Linked DNA regions of Struthio camelus. The protein of the gene in region 1 purifies or fractionates together with the protein of each later gene. This does not show direct contact. Links are inferred from orthologs where the notes say so. Each region holds a gene or a part of one and is shown on either strand. Other genes may lie near its edges.

The links.
Region 2: the proteins of STX18 (region 1) and SNAP29 purify together in Homo sapiens (affinity purification with mass spectrometry; 3 studies listed by BioGRID and IntAct, counting the BioPlex papers as one, with this or other methods). This does not show direct contact. The link is inferred for Struthio camelus from reciprocal best matches to the Homo sapiens genes STX18 and SNAP29.

The regions. Positions count from the first base shown.
Region 1 is NC_090945.1:72,822,502-72,829,498, forward strand, and holds the start of STX18 (syntaxin-18), read right to left. Parts: upstream 3,053-6,997; 5' UTR 3,004-3,052; coding exon 2,839-3,003; intron 1-2,838. UniProt on the Homo sapiens protein: Syntaxin that may be involved in targeting and fusion of Golgi-derived retrograde transport vesicles with the ER.
Region 2 is NC_090958.1:9,921,909-9,929,828, forward strand, and holds the start of SNAP29 (synaptosomal-associated protein 29), read right to left. Parts: upstream 3,085-7,920; 5' UTR 3,065-3,084; intron 3,063-3,064; exon of another isoform or gene 2,987-3,062; 5' UTR 2,966-2,986; coding exon 2,765-2,965; intron 1,401-2,764; coding exon 1,204-1,400; intron 222-1,203; coding exon 136-221; intron 1-135. UniProt on the Homo sapiens protein: SNAREs, soluble N-ethylmaleimide-sensitive factor-attachment protein receptors, are essential proteins for fusion of cellular membranes.

The sequences.
Region 1 (6,997 bases):
AATGGAGATCTTCAACTATTACTCAACCAAATGCAGCATAACAAGAGCTCCGACTACGTATAAATTATTCAGGGTCTCCCATGTTATTCTGTGTGGGTTCTGAACGTCATTTTTTGGGACGAGTTTTAAAGATAACAGTAGTTAAAATAAGAGTTTGATATGTTCTCCAGATTTAAAAAAAAAAAATAAGTAACTGTATGTAGGCAGAGAAGGATTCGCTGGATTTTTGGGGGCTTTTAAAACTAGAAACCTGTTAAAGAATTAATGTGTATATCAGAGATTACACTTGCAAGTTAAATTGCTTAATCTTGGCAGAAGCAGCTAAACTGCTGCTAGGCTATAACAAGCAAGGCTATAACAAAGTATTTGAAAGAAGCTTTCGAAAAATACATATTCAAGTCAAATTGTATTTTGCTGAAGGAAGCACTCAAAATTATGATCAATTTTACTACAAAACCTCCCCTTTCACTGTAGTTTATATGCTGCGTTTCCCCATTAGAATTAGATCTTAGAGAAGGCCTAAAAAGCTGTCATAAATCCTTCTCCGGTCTGGTAGGTTGTTGGCTCCACTGTCACAAATACAGCTAAACTACAGGAGCAGAGACAGACCAGGCCCAATCTATTGCACTCTCTCGTACTCACTCAGCAGCAGTTAACAGGAATCACGTTCAAAGGTGCTCAGCAACACATTTTTGGCCTTACCTTTTTCTCCAAGTCATCGTTTATGCGACTACCACCAGTTAAACTCATTCTCCTCTTCCCCTCAAAAAGACTGCTCAGTTCATCCACTGTGGCATTAACTGTTTACTTCACCCTTAACAAGCTGCTGTAATTAAACAGATGCTTTTAGCCATATCTTTGCCCTTTCTATTGCCTGGACAGTGCTCCTAGGAAACTAAGAAAGGACAAGGAGCTCAGATAACAGAAGACAAGCAATAATAAATGTGAATAGGGGCAAAAAAGGAATAAGGTAGCAGAAAAAGTATACTCCTACAGCACGTCATCACAGCACAGGACTATGGCTGGGCAGCGAGGAGAGGATGAAGGTGAGGCTGGGCCTGAGTACGAACAGAACTTGAGAAAGACGACGAAACCTGGGAGGCAGCAAGTTCAAGGGAGCATTGGTGGCAGGAAGGGAAGACAGAGAAGAGAGGGGTGAGGAAGAAGAAGCGGGCACGGATCCAATCTGAGGCTATAAATTATTTGAAATACAGACTACTTCTATGATCAGAAACCTAGAAATATGGAGAGAGGCTGAAGCGAATGCAACTGCAGATAAGGAACCAAAGCGCAGACACAGACAGTACTGGAAGCAACGGAGCAGAGGGTTAAAGCTTTGGAGGAAGCGAATACAAGGCTGTGGCTATACGAATATCTAGGATGGAAGCCGACAATTCTCAAATTTCTCCCTTGCTCTGCCTCAGCAAATAACTGCAAAACACTTGGGCAGAACATCTGGACACTGTCTAGTGCTAAACCCTTAGAGGATAACAACCTGCTGCCAGCATTAGCCCAAGCGCTGGAGTTCTGAATAGCAGACTAAAAGTTGCAGTCATGTTGATGATGTAGATAAATGTCAATATGATGCCATGTGATAAAATTTCAATCCTTTTTAAAAATTCTAGGAATTCACATACACACAAATCGTGTAAAGGTTGCCCTGTTCTACTGCAAGTCTAAAGCAGTCTGTTCACTCTAAGGCTGCAGAATTTGAAATAATTTTAGCTAAATCAGCAGATGCCCCCCCAAAAAAAAGTACATCTCATGATCAAAGATCTTGAACGTAGTTTTACAGACTGGTCTTATCCCTACAGATAGATCCCTACCACAGATCTCATAGCCAATATTAAGCAAGTCACTTAAATCAACTTTTAATAGGGGATTAATAACTATATGTTCATTTAACATATACCCAAGTTGTCACCCTTCTTAAGCCTCAAAGCAATCACTGAACGACTTAAAATAAAACTTTAAGTGTTATAAAACACATTAGTTATAAAACACTATCTCTGAAATTGGAAAACAATAATTAAGTAAGACCTAAATTTAACACTAATCTCTGTCCTTGAAAACTAAACCATTCAGAACTCAGTAAACGTCAGAAACAAGACTGCCTGTGTACTCGTGGTGTAGTCCTACACTTGCACGTGCATCATGACGTGGTTTTTACACCATTATATGTCATTTTCTGTAAGAGTTTTCTCAGACAGTGCCCTGAACAGCCTTTTCCTGTTAGTTTGAATTGCAAAGTTTGGTCCAGTGCCTTAACCCAGGTGCATTACTCAAATCCCACTGAGACATCAAAACTTTTTCCCTACCATTTGCTCTGTACGGAGGAAAACAATCTACAAGAAATTTGCTTTTACAGCACTACTGCTGATTACGGATGTTATCGTTCCTGGTCAGTTTAGCTCCGTAAGCCCTCAATTCCTCAGTGCTTAGCTTTTCAACTCTTAAAATGTTCTGATTAGGTTTTTTTTCCCTCTCTCTTTTTTTTACACATGGCTCATCTAGAAATGGCACTGCACAGCCACACTGCGCAACAAGAAGAAAAACCTGAAGAGAGCACGCATATATGTACATACACATATACACACATACACTGCAGCCCCTCCCGAGGCGGCGGCGGCGGCGGCCCACGGCGCAGGAGAGGCGGGCGCGCCCCGCGGGAAGCCGCCGCCGCCGCCCTCGACAAGCTCCTCCGCCTCTCCGCGGCCAGGGCAGGCGCCCCCCAGCCGCGGCCCGCGCGGGGCCGCCGATGCCCCCCGCCCCGGACGCCTGGGCCCCCTCCTCCCCGGGGGGGGGGGGAGGGGAGGCGCAGGGCGCCGCCGCACTCACCACCTCACGGGCCCGGCTGGAGAAGTCGCTCTTGGAGCGGGCCGCGCCGCGCTTGAGCAGCTCATCCCTGGCGCTGTCGCCGGCCGCCGCCACCCCCAGCGCCTTGTTGCGGGTCTTCACCGTCTTCACGCTGGCCTTGAAGAGCAGCGTGATGTCGACGGCCATGGCGCCGCGCCGCGCCCCGCCCCCCCCCGCCGCGCCAGCCGGCGGCCGGTGCCCCCGCGCCGCCTTCCCCGCGCAACGCGGCACCGGCGCGCGCGTTCCGCCCCGCCGCAGAGCGCCGGCGCTTCCGGCTGCGGCGCGTGGGCAGGCGGCGGGCCGGGCCGGGCCGGGCCGGGGCTTAGCGGCGAGGCGGCAGCCTGGCTGCTGCCTCCTCCTAGCGAATGGCAGCGTTTGCAGAGCGAAACACGAGCTGCGTTTCGCCACCGGAGCGGGGGGAAGGGGGCAGTTCAACCTGATTTCATTTGTCTTGGCACTTGCAGCGGATGGGCAGCTGCGCTGCCTGGCAGGGCCCTGCCTTTGAATCCCTGCTCTCCGGCTCCTTCGGCCGCAACCACATATAACTTTAAGAACATAATTCGGTCTCCCAGGGTTTTTTTTTTTTTTTAACCCAGCAGCTACCTGGGGTTTCCAGGGTTTTGAATGAAAGGAAAACACCTGGCTGTTACAAAATTACCTCCCTTTAAAGACCTGTCTACGCCTGAAAGCTTTGGCAGTACAGGGACACTGCCCGAACCCCCCAAGTACACGCACACACCCCCACCAGCACACGCTTCGTTCTCTGCGCGTACAGTACTCCAGTTTAGCAAGTGAAATACTTCTTATCAACTGCATTTTCAAGGAGATTTGGCTAAAGTAGCTATGGCACGTTTGAAAAAAAAAAAAGTCATTCCAACAAAGCGTTGCAGCCTAGACCACCTAGCTGGGGTGTCACGGTAGGTGTCACCAGGTGGAGCTGTTAGACATACATAGTTTTCCAAGTTTATAGCTTGTGCATGGAAAGACAGGTTAATTAGTTGATTAATACACAACAGCAGATTTGCACTGGGATCTGGGACTGGTACTGGTGTGAGATTTCTGGAGGAAGTAGTCATATCTGTATGTATTTTGACTATTCATTCACAAACTGTATAAATAAAGTATCCTTGTTACACACCTAGGATGTGCAACAAAGATTTCTTCTCTGGGCGGAAGCTGATCTTCAGGGTCCATGAGGTCTGACACCACTTGACACTGGGACAATGTCATGTTGGTACCCAAAAGATATCTCACACTGTGAATTACAATTCACATTAACTGATTCTGAAGAAAGCTTTGTGAAATAACCTTTGCTACTATTATTACTGAGACAGATTCATTACCGTGTTCTGTCCACAGGTAGACAAGCTACTTGAAAGGAAATCGCGTGGCTCAGAGGGGGAAACTTTTGACCACACAGCCGCTGGTGGTGTTACATGTATGCCACAGCGCCCCGGGATTCAGCAGATGCTATGTACTTTTTAACTTAGCTCAAACTGACCAGAAGCACATTTCCTCACACAGACTCCACAGAACAGACCTTCAAAATTTTGCCTTTCCACAGCAAACTGGAACTTAATGAACTACGCTTATTTTTCCTACTTGCTCCATAGTAACAGGCTTTCTTCCAATATTATTTAGTACCCTGCTTTCAGTTCAGTTCTCTTCAGTTCAGTCTGAGCTGTAGATTAGTGAATCCTTCACAGTTACATTGTGATTAGTATTTATTCATACTTTGTTAATATTGTTCTAATCTAAATTGTGTTTTTATGGCAGTATGGATATGTATTTCTAATTAAAAGAATATACACTTCAAGTCACTGTCCTCGGTGCTGGATTTATAGTGAAAACATATTAAAGATAGATATTAACAAAATGGACAACTAAGGAGACTAGACTTTTCATTCCAAGAATGCCAATAGTATTTGAGTAAAACTAGAGCCAAACACCTTTGCTCTTTTAAGATTAAGAAATACAGTATGGAGATGCTTTAGCAAAGTACGTATTTAATAAAGCATGGAATTTACATTTAAATTAGATACTTTCAGGTATATGTCCTGAAATTACTTATTTCTACTTTGCATTACCAAAAGCAAAGCAAGCACACTTAAAATTCCAGGAGTGTCTCACACTGATCACAGACATGCCTAATCTGAAACTCACTGAAGACAATTCTGACATGTAAGTTTACCATTGCTATGTGTTAGGATAATTTTCAGATGCTTTGATTCTGCCATTCTTAGAGTACTAATGCCTCACTTCACAAACACCTTACTTCACGGACATTTGCACAGGTAACTTCTTGCCAACAGTAATAAGAGCTTCACAGCTTGGCCCAAAGTAATATGGTCCTGAAAATGTAAGTGGCAGAATTAAATTGTGTTTTTGTGCATACTCGGCTGTATACCGTGTTCCAGTGTTCAATGAAGTTAACATTTACACTGACTTGAAATATTGCCATTTGTTTAAGTGCCCATTGGATAAGAATGTTTGTTTTTTTGATTTTAGAATGTTGCTTTTGTACATTTAAACTGTAAGAATATCAAAGTCATTTTGAAACTTGAATCTTCATCTTACCTTCCTGGTTTTAGAAACAACAGCTTACTGGTGCCTGTCATCTTATAGTTTGTTCATTTTCTAATGAAATTTAGGTACTTATAAATAATTAAAATATTGTATATGATTTTGGATTAAAAAAAGAAACTGCAGTTCATTAAGGCAAAGTATATTCTAAAAAAACACAGTATAATTTCCCTCCCAACTTTGCAAAGACTTATACACATACTTAATCTCTGTGATACTATGAATACCACTGAGTTCAATAGAGCCACACATATCACATACGGTTAAGTGCATAACCCTTTTATCAGATCAAGATGTTGGCTGTAAACTCTTCAGGACCAAGACTGTGTCTTTATTTCTACTTTTACTTATTTATTTGGGCTTTATGTCCACAAACAACAGTGTGCATGTGACCAGCAGTTCCTGAAAAACACCCCAAAACAGTAACAGTAATATTATACAGGCTATTCTCGTACTTATACAGTCTTAAAACTTTCACTCAGGCACAAGGAAATAAATAGTAATGCATTTTTGAAAAGAAACACAGTATTAACATTCCTTACAGCTGATCTCATCTGTCAGAAATGGACTGAACAACTAATCTGGTAAAGGAAAAAGTTAAAATACCTTTTTAACCTGAAAGAAGGTTGCTCAAATGGTCTAACTCATTAGGTATATAATACCCAGGGCCTCTGCTGTAGAGATAAATAGATAGCTTTGAAGATTACAAACTACTTTAAAATCAGTTGCTAAGAACTGGTGCCCAGAGCTTTTATTTGAACTTGATCCTAGCTTCCTGTATACAGTAACTGCATCTACTCAGTAGTTACTTGCACTTCCACAGCCACCTTGTTTTGAAAGTATAAAGCTAACTTTGGAGCAGATAGGTTTCAATAGTACATGCTGGTGCTTCCTGTAATTGCTAAAAAGGCTAACCTGGAAATCTAAGATTTTTAAGGTTGGAGTAAATTTCCAAAACACACACAAAGGTCTACAGTCCCACCATAAGTGCTGCAGGTAAATGTGTAAAAATGCACGCACTGGGCACTCAGTCATGCCTCAGCAGAAGCATGCTGGGAAGAGGAAGAGATAGGAGTTTGCAAAGTATAATGGCCTTGTACGCAGCATGAGGACTGCATGATGATCACCAGGTCTTGGTGTACCTGCTTAACAGGCATGTCCAGTAAAATGCTTCGGGCAAACCTGCCAGTCAAAAGGAGATCAAAGCTTTGCTGCAGTTATCAATCAATACGTCCATTCAAGAGGGGCTGATGGGTTCATCTCTGCTCAGAGACAGGTAACTTCATGATTAGTTAAGTTCCTTTTACATGAGAGGTAAATGGAAGGGATAAAGCTCCTGCACTTCTTTCCTTCCAATGCAGTCCAGCTACTAAGGTCCTAACTTGGCCCTGACCGCAGAAAACTATACCCAGTGCATTTTATATGTTCTCTATTTTTTCTGGCATAAAAACAGTAACTTTCTTTATGTGATGATAAGGTTACAAACTGAACCAAATATCAAAAGGAAGGCAATTTCGCTTACAGTGCACATTTTTAATCACGACAAATCAAAAGAGGA
Region 2 (7,920 bases), on another chromosome or scaffold:
CAAATCTCTGGCAGGAGTTAGGTAGCAATGCATGACAAGAGTTGGGCAGGCTGAAGGGTCTGTGCCTTTACCACTGTGCAAGTCTCCTCTACTGGGAGGAGGACAGACATTCAACATAAAATAAAATTAACAAACCTGAATTATCTAGCCTCCTTAAATTTGGATGACTTTCCTGGTATTTTGACTCTTGCTCTTTGCTAGACATCATTGCTTCTTTTAATCTGGTAACGCAGAGAAAAACAAAACATTCTTATGTACCACAGGCTTGAGTCTGAATCTGTTAAACAAGAACAGGTATTTTGTCCAAGAAGAGTGAGTTTGTTAGGCCCAGTTCAACATGTCTTAAGTGTCATTTGTCTTCAGTGAAAGCACAATAGGCCCCTATGGTGCTGAAGATATCAAAGCTTTGATATCAAGACAAAATTGCTTCCTCATTCTTGGGGACAAATTATTCCTTTCCTCTGGGGGGTGGGGAGGGGAGGGGATGGCTGAAGAGAGATAAGTACTGTAAGATATTCACCTTCACAATATTTATTTTTATTTACAGCTTTTAATAAAAGGTAGAGAAATATACATAACATTTAACAGGAAGCATGTCGATGCTGCAAATCTCGATTTCCTGATAAGACTGGAGTAGGCGCAATAATTCAGAGGGCTCCAAGGAATTACCTGTGATGGCATTTCCTACAAATATGATGTTATTCCTATCACTACTAACATAAAGAAAAGTAAAAATACTTCTAGCAGAGTCAAAGGAAAAAGGATCAACAGATTTCCCTTTATATTTTAAGTTCCAATTTTCCGCTGACTTTTCAGACATGCCACTGGAGATCCAAAAAAGGTCAAAAGGGTAAATGGATTAGGTGAGGAGTTTAGGTGGAAGATATACGAGTGAAACTAGGGAAATTTTGAGAAGACTTTGAGGAGAAAAAAAACAAAAAGCAGGAAAAAAAACCCCAGGAGCCTGGTACTTGGAGAAGTATGGAAGAACACAGTGCGTGTATGCACAGAGTAAAAAGTGAGGGGCCCTGATAACAGAATAAGGGAGGAGTAGGTGACTGGTCTATGTCTCGCTTTACGAAGTACTTCAAAAGAACTACGCTAGATTCAGAACCTCACAAAAAATGTTTAATTCCAGGCAGGTCTCCTGCTTGGCCCCAAGAAAGTACTATCATACCCAAATAAAACATTTATTTCACTTACCTACTGTGAGCATTATACTCAGGGGCTCCGTTCTGCTCTGGCTTGCTGTCTGGAGGTTTGGGTTTGAAGTAGCTTACCAAGCCTCCAAAAACACTCTTAATGCTATTTATGTGTCTTTGACTAGTCTTCAAGTCCTGGTCCATTTTGTCTACCATTTGTTCTGTGCGCTTCAGTACCTCTCCCTGACGTACAAGCTCCTAAAAATATTTACAGAAAAAGGGAAGTTAGTAAGGATAAACTGCAATATCAAACATTTTTAACAGGTACTCTGAAGAAGAATGTTTAACAGAGTTCCTCCATCTATCCACGTTATTTTTAAAGGCATCTAGCCTTTCCACTTACTCCTTTTCCTCCAGGGCATTTCAATCAAGAGTTGCTAGTCAACCACAATGATATGCTATACCAGCTATAAAATTCTCATAACTAAGCAAAGCCCAGTTTCCTGCCACCTACTACAAACAGGATCTAGGAAGTTTTTGTATTGGCCCTCTGTCAGGTTGAAATTTCTATCTGTTCTTGCTGGAACAAGCGTTGTACCAGATGGGTGATGTAGCGAAAACTATGTTTTATCGCATGTGGCTTATGGAATGGCAATGACCAAACAGAATTGCTTCTAGTTGTATCCCCTATCAATGAAAGTCTCATCCACTATTTTCACATTACTGTGGTGTTCTAGATAATTTGGAAAAAGAATTACTACCGGAAATAACTAGAATTTTTCCATACTGCATGATTATTCTTTTTTTTTTGGTGCTAATACCCAAAATGCAGGATTTAGAAATCCTGATACATGCAGCTATGTCATTTACTAATTCAGGGGCACAAACAGTATTCCAAAGCAGTCCAAAGATTAATTCTAGCAGTAAAGTTGCCTGTGGCTAACACTAATGAGAAATAAAGACCGTAGACTCATATTCTCTCCAAAGTTTCGTGAATTCTAGTTGAATATACTTACCTCCTCACTCAAGCAATCCAGCTCAGACAATTCAAATTCTACCATTAACCCTACATCAAGTCTACGTCCTCGACTGCTTTTTGGGCTTCTCTTAAAAAAAAGAAATCACACCTTGGCAAGCTCACACAAGTGACACAAATAGCCCTCTTCAGCCTAACTACCTATGACAGCCTGTGGATGGTCTCAGTATGACACAGGTCATCATGCTACTAACGTTCAAGTAAACACCCCATTAACGGGTGACATAATCCACATAGCCTTTACTAATGAGGTCTCTTAAGGTAAACCCTGTTCTGAAACAACTCCAAAAGAACGAAGGAAATGATTAACAGGGATAAAACCGGGCCCATCATAAACAACTACTCCAGCAGACTTGTCATGTACGCAAGGGAACAGCTGAGGCTTTCAGGAGAACTTTTCACCCAGATAAAAATCAGTAACCATTAACACGCACTTGTAAGAATGCTTAAAAGCTGTGGAAAACACAGCGGAGCTGCAGTCTCGAGGCTCTACAGATAAAGCAGGCCTGTCCTCCAGGGACACGCTGCCTCCGGAACGCTGAGCGGCTGGGGGGGCTCCGGCCCGGCCGCCGCCCCGCAGACCCACCTCGGAGGCGGCCACGCCGACGCGCTCCGACTCGTAGAGCAGGGCCAGGGAGCGGGCCGTGCTGTCGGCCGTGGCGGCCGAGCGCCGCAGCACCTCCCGCTGCAGGTAGCGCTGCCGCTCGGCGCCGCCCGCCGCCGCCACCTCGGCCGCCTCCTCCTCGTCGGCCGCGAAGGGGTTGTAGCTCCTCGGCGGCGCCGCCATGGTGCCGCCGCCCGCCTCGCCCTGTGAGGAAGAGGCCGCAGTGAGCGCGCGCCGCCGCCCGCACCCCGCTCCACAACGGCGCCCGCCGCCGCCGCTCACCCCCGGCTCCTTCCGCCCGCAGGCCGCCGCCGCGCCGGGCGGAACCACGGCGACCCCCCCCCGGGGCGGGGCGAGCGCGCGGCCGCTCCTCTGGGGGCGGGCGGTGGCGGGCAGGAACCATCACGGCAACGGGGGGGGGGGGGAAGAGGCGGGGGGGACGATGATAACCCTCCATCAGTGAAGCCGCGGCGGGCGCCGCCATCTTTATGGCGCGATTGGCCGCCTTGCGGTCCCGCGGGGAGGGCGGCGGTCTCGCGAGAGGCGCGCCGGCGGCCCGTCTTGGGGGCGAGGCGCGGGCTCCCCCTCCCCCACAACATGGCGGCGGCGGCAGTGGCGGCGGCGGCCGCGGCTGCAGCGACGGCCGCGGCGGCGGCGACGGCAACGGCGGCCGCGGCGGCGGCTGCTCCTGCCGCGGGCGCGGGCGCGGGCGCGGGCCGGGGGGGCAGCGCGGGCACCGCGCGCGGCTTCTACTTCAACACGGTGCTGTCGCTGGCGCGGTCGCTGGCAGTGCAGAGCCCGGCGCCTCTGGAGAAGGTGAGGGCGGAGCGGGGTCCCGCGGGGCGCGTCCGTGGGGAGGGGCGGCCACGCGTGTTGGGGCTGCGTGTGTGAGGGAGAGGAGGCCCCACGCGCGTCGGGACTGCGTGTGGGGGACCTGCTATGCGTGCTAGGGCTGTATGTGTGGGAGGGGAGGCTGTCGCGCGTGCTGGGGCTGCGTGGGGGGGGAGAGGATGTCGTGCATGTCGAGGCTGCGTGGGGGTAGCTGGTATGTGTGCCAGGGCTGTATGCGTGTGTGAGGGGAGGCGGCTGCGTGGGGGGAGGGGAGGCCGTTCACGCGTGTCGTGGCTGCGTGTCGGGGGCTGTCACGCGTGCTGCTGCTGCCTGTGCGTGGGAGGGGAGGCTGTCACACGTACTGGGGCTGCGTGTACGTGGTGGGAGGGGAAGTTGTTCACGCATGTCGGAGCTGCGTGGGGGAAGGGGCAGCCGTTATGCGTGTTGGGGCTGCGTGTGCGTGGGAGGGAGGCTGTTCACGTGTGTCGGGGCTGTGTGGGGGAAGGGGAGGCTGTTCACGTGTGTTGGGGTGGCTGTCACGCATGTCGGGGCTGTGTGTGTGGAAGGGGAGGCTGTTCACGTGTGTTGGGGTGGCTGTCACGCATGTCGGGGCTGTGTGTGTGGAAGGGGAGGCTGTTCACGTGTGTTGGGGTGGCTGTCACGCATGTCGGGGCTGTGTGTGTGGAAGGGGAGGCTGTTCACGTGTGTTGGGGTGGCTGTCACGCATGTCGGGGCTGCGTGTGTGTGGGAGGGGTGGCCGTCACGTGTGTCGGGGCTGCTTGGGGGAAGGGACCACTGTCATGCGTGTCAGGGCTGCGTGTGTGCGGGAGGGAGGCTGTTCACGTGTGTCGGGGCTGTGTGAGGGAAGGGGTGGCCGTCACGCGTGTCGGGGCTGTGTGTGCATGGAGGGGAGGCTGCTCACGTGTGTTGAGGCAGCTGTCACGTGTGTCAGGGCTGTGTGTGTGGGAGGGAGGCTGCTCACATGTGTTGGGGCTGTGGGAGAGAAGGAGCGGCTGTCACGCGTGTCGGGGCTGCGTGTGCGTGGAGGGGAGGCTGTTCACGTGTGTTGGGGTGGCTGTCACGCGTGTCGGGGCTGTGTGTGTGGGAGGGGCTGCTGTCATGCATGTCGGGGTTGTGTGTGTGCATGAGGGGAGGCTGTTCATGTGTGTTGGGGTGGCTGTCACGCGTGTCGGGGCTGCTTAGGGGAAGGGGCTGCCGTCACGTGTGTCAGGGCTGCGTGTGTGCGGGAGGGGAGGCTGTCGCGCGTGCCGGCTGCGTGTCGGGATGGCCACACGAGTCACAGCTGCGTGTGCACGCTGTGCTGTGCGGGAGGCCTCGAGGCCGGCACGCGGGGGGCGCGCGTCCCGGCCGTGGGTGGCGCGGGGCTGCGGAGCCTGTTGCGCATGCGTGGTCCAGGCTACTGCCTGCGGCCGTGTCATGCGCGTGGGCTGAGGCGAGGATGAGCGTGTCCCGCTGCAGGTGGGAGCCACGGCCGTGGGGGCTGCGGTTAGCTGTGCGGGCCAGCGTGCGCGCGGGGGGCCGCTGCCTGCGAGCGCTGCGCCTGCGCCGAGGTGGCGTGTGGCCTTCTGGTGGCTCCTTTTTACTGAGACGTAAATAACTGCGTGGCTTGAGGTGCTGCTGTGTAAGGAGGGCGCCACGGTCGTGCGTGCTTCAGAACCGCTCTGTAGCTGTCTATGTGGAGAAAAGGGTCCTCGAGAGCTGCGGGGTGACTGTGGATCCCGGGAGTTCGTGGAACATAGTCTTGAGACATAACCAGCTTGATTAGCATAGCTGGGTCTGCTTGGTTAAATCAAAGTGGTGCAATCACCTAAAGGTGAAAACTGTCCGATTAAGATGAAGATCGATTCAATGCAAACCTGAATAGGTGAATTTTAGTCTTGGAAACAGTTTCCTTTGTGGGTCTTTATTGCTCACGTGAAACAGCTGGTTGATTCAAGTTGTGCAGAAAAAGAGAAATAAGACAGCCTAATGTTTCAGTAGTTGGCTTCTCTCTGCATAAATTGGTTGAACTCCTAAATTGCCTCACACACTAATGAAAGATGACTAAATTGTTGAAAAGCACAGCTCTGTGCTGATGCTATAGTATGTGACTTATTTTTGGCTAGCTTTTCGGACTTTCTTTCTTAGTTCTTGCTTTGGAAATTTGCCATTAGTCTGACAGCCAATTGTAAATAAATCTTTTATATCTCCCTGTTGGTTCACCAGGATCCAGTGATTCTGTAGTTTATAAGAGTCTACACTAGGAGTTAAATTATATTAACAGTTATATCTCATTAAAGGTATTTACTCATGTTTTTCAGCATAATAACCTGATGTGGAATGCACGCATTAGAAGTTATTTTCCAAAGGTTTTCTTTCATTTGCTGTACTTCATGTTAAGGAAGAGGATTATTAAAACTGTATTACAGGTTTTGTAATTACAAGGTAGGACAGTGTAAGGCTCAGAATCTTAGCTTGCACTGGGCCCCGGTAGGTTCTTCTAATTCTCTAAGGAGACAGTTTCTTGGTTTAGAAATTTCAAGGCAGGATGTTTAAAGTGAGTTATCCAAATAGGAAGGAACTTGACATTCAAACATAAGTATTCATTATGACAGTCTCTTCTTGGTAGTGTTTATTAGCATCAAGGAGACTTACGGAAAGTCCGTATGTATGCCTGCATTTTTCCCCTTTTCACTGTTCTGTAGGCAAACTAAATATCTGAGAGTTTTGGTATATTCTTTAGTTGTGTGTTAGCTGGGTATGGAATGAAGTAATAGGTAAGCAGTGGGGAAAATACTTAAGTCTGTTACATTGAAAGAATTTGAGCAAAAGTCACACTTATTTAAGCAGCAGAGTTTATTTTGGAGTGCTGTGTATGAAGAAAGCATTGGTGTAACTGTAACAACAGCTCTATCCACCTAGTTCTTGTTTACAGGGATTGAGTAGATACTATGTGTGTGTGCCTGTTGCGTATTTCTTGCACATCCCAAATGAATTAGTTGGAGAAAACTTTTAAATTTACCCTTGTTGTGGTAAATGTTTGACAGTTATTTGTAGAATTTTCTATCTTTTTCTAGTATCTGTCATTCTTCACTCTTTCCTAGCTAGCCCTTAGATGAGTTCATTAAAAGATTGATGACTACAGGAGGGGTAATATGGCCATCTGATTCCCTTGCAGAAAAGGGAAATGCTACTGTCCGCTTCAGCTGTAGGAAGTCTAAACGAATCTTTCTGAAAATTGCAGCCTGTCAGCTTGTTTCTCTGCTGTGAGAATATTTGCAATTGCATTAGTACTACCCAGGCCTATTGCTTGCTGTACTCTAGGGCATGAATGTGATGGCCAGCTCTCTTTTCCATAAATGAAAAGCTGGGAGCTGTTTGCATTGCTCTCTTCAGGTCTACTGGTGGATATTTGAAAGGCAGTTTTAAGACATGTGCTGTTGTTACTTTGGAATGTGTTTTGACAGTTTTGATCTTCTTCTCCTGGCCTTTCCCGCCGCTGTTTTTCAGGTACAAAAACTGCTCTGTATGTGTCCAGTGGATTTCCATGGGATTTTCCAGTTAGATGAACGTCGCAGAGATGCTGTAATTGCTTTGGGAATCTTTCTAATTGAATCTGATCTTCAGGTATTATTTTTCCCCTCATATTAATTGTATTTCACTGAAAGATTTTAGAATAATTCAAATTTAGTTGTTCAGTGGATGCAAAGTTGGTATTTACTGTACACTGGAATTACTGTAGTGTCAAGAACCTTAAAATCATGAATGTGTTACGCATATGCAAGCGTCCTTGCTCTAAAAAGTTGACTGAATACAAGGTCACAGATAGCAGATGGATTACAGGCAGGAGAGCACAAGGAAGTAAGGACAGTACTGAGGAGTGTGATAGGCAGTGGTCAAGGCACTGTCATAGCCAAACTGCTGTCATGTTTTTTTGTGGACATCATAGCAAAGTAGAGCTTATTGAGGAGGGAAAGCAAAGGTTAAATTGTTTTACAGAGGTTTATGGGGGATTATAGGCAACATAAAGGTGGTTGTTTGCAAATCTTAAGTAGCAGTTAATGAATAGACTGGAACTTCTGATTTTCTAGCAACCTTAAAATTATTTTGAGACATTGCTGTGTGTTTTGCTGTATGCTAATACATGAGTTAGGGGGGGGGGGAAAAAAGATTCAGAGTAATAATTAACCCCAGCTTTTACAGTGAATGAGCTGTTGCTTAGAACGGCATGACTGGATTTACAGCACTGAATTAAGTGGTTGACTTCTTTTTGCTTGTGTTGAAATCAATTTTGCAGTATTCAGGCA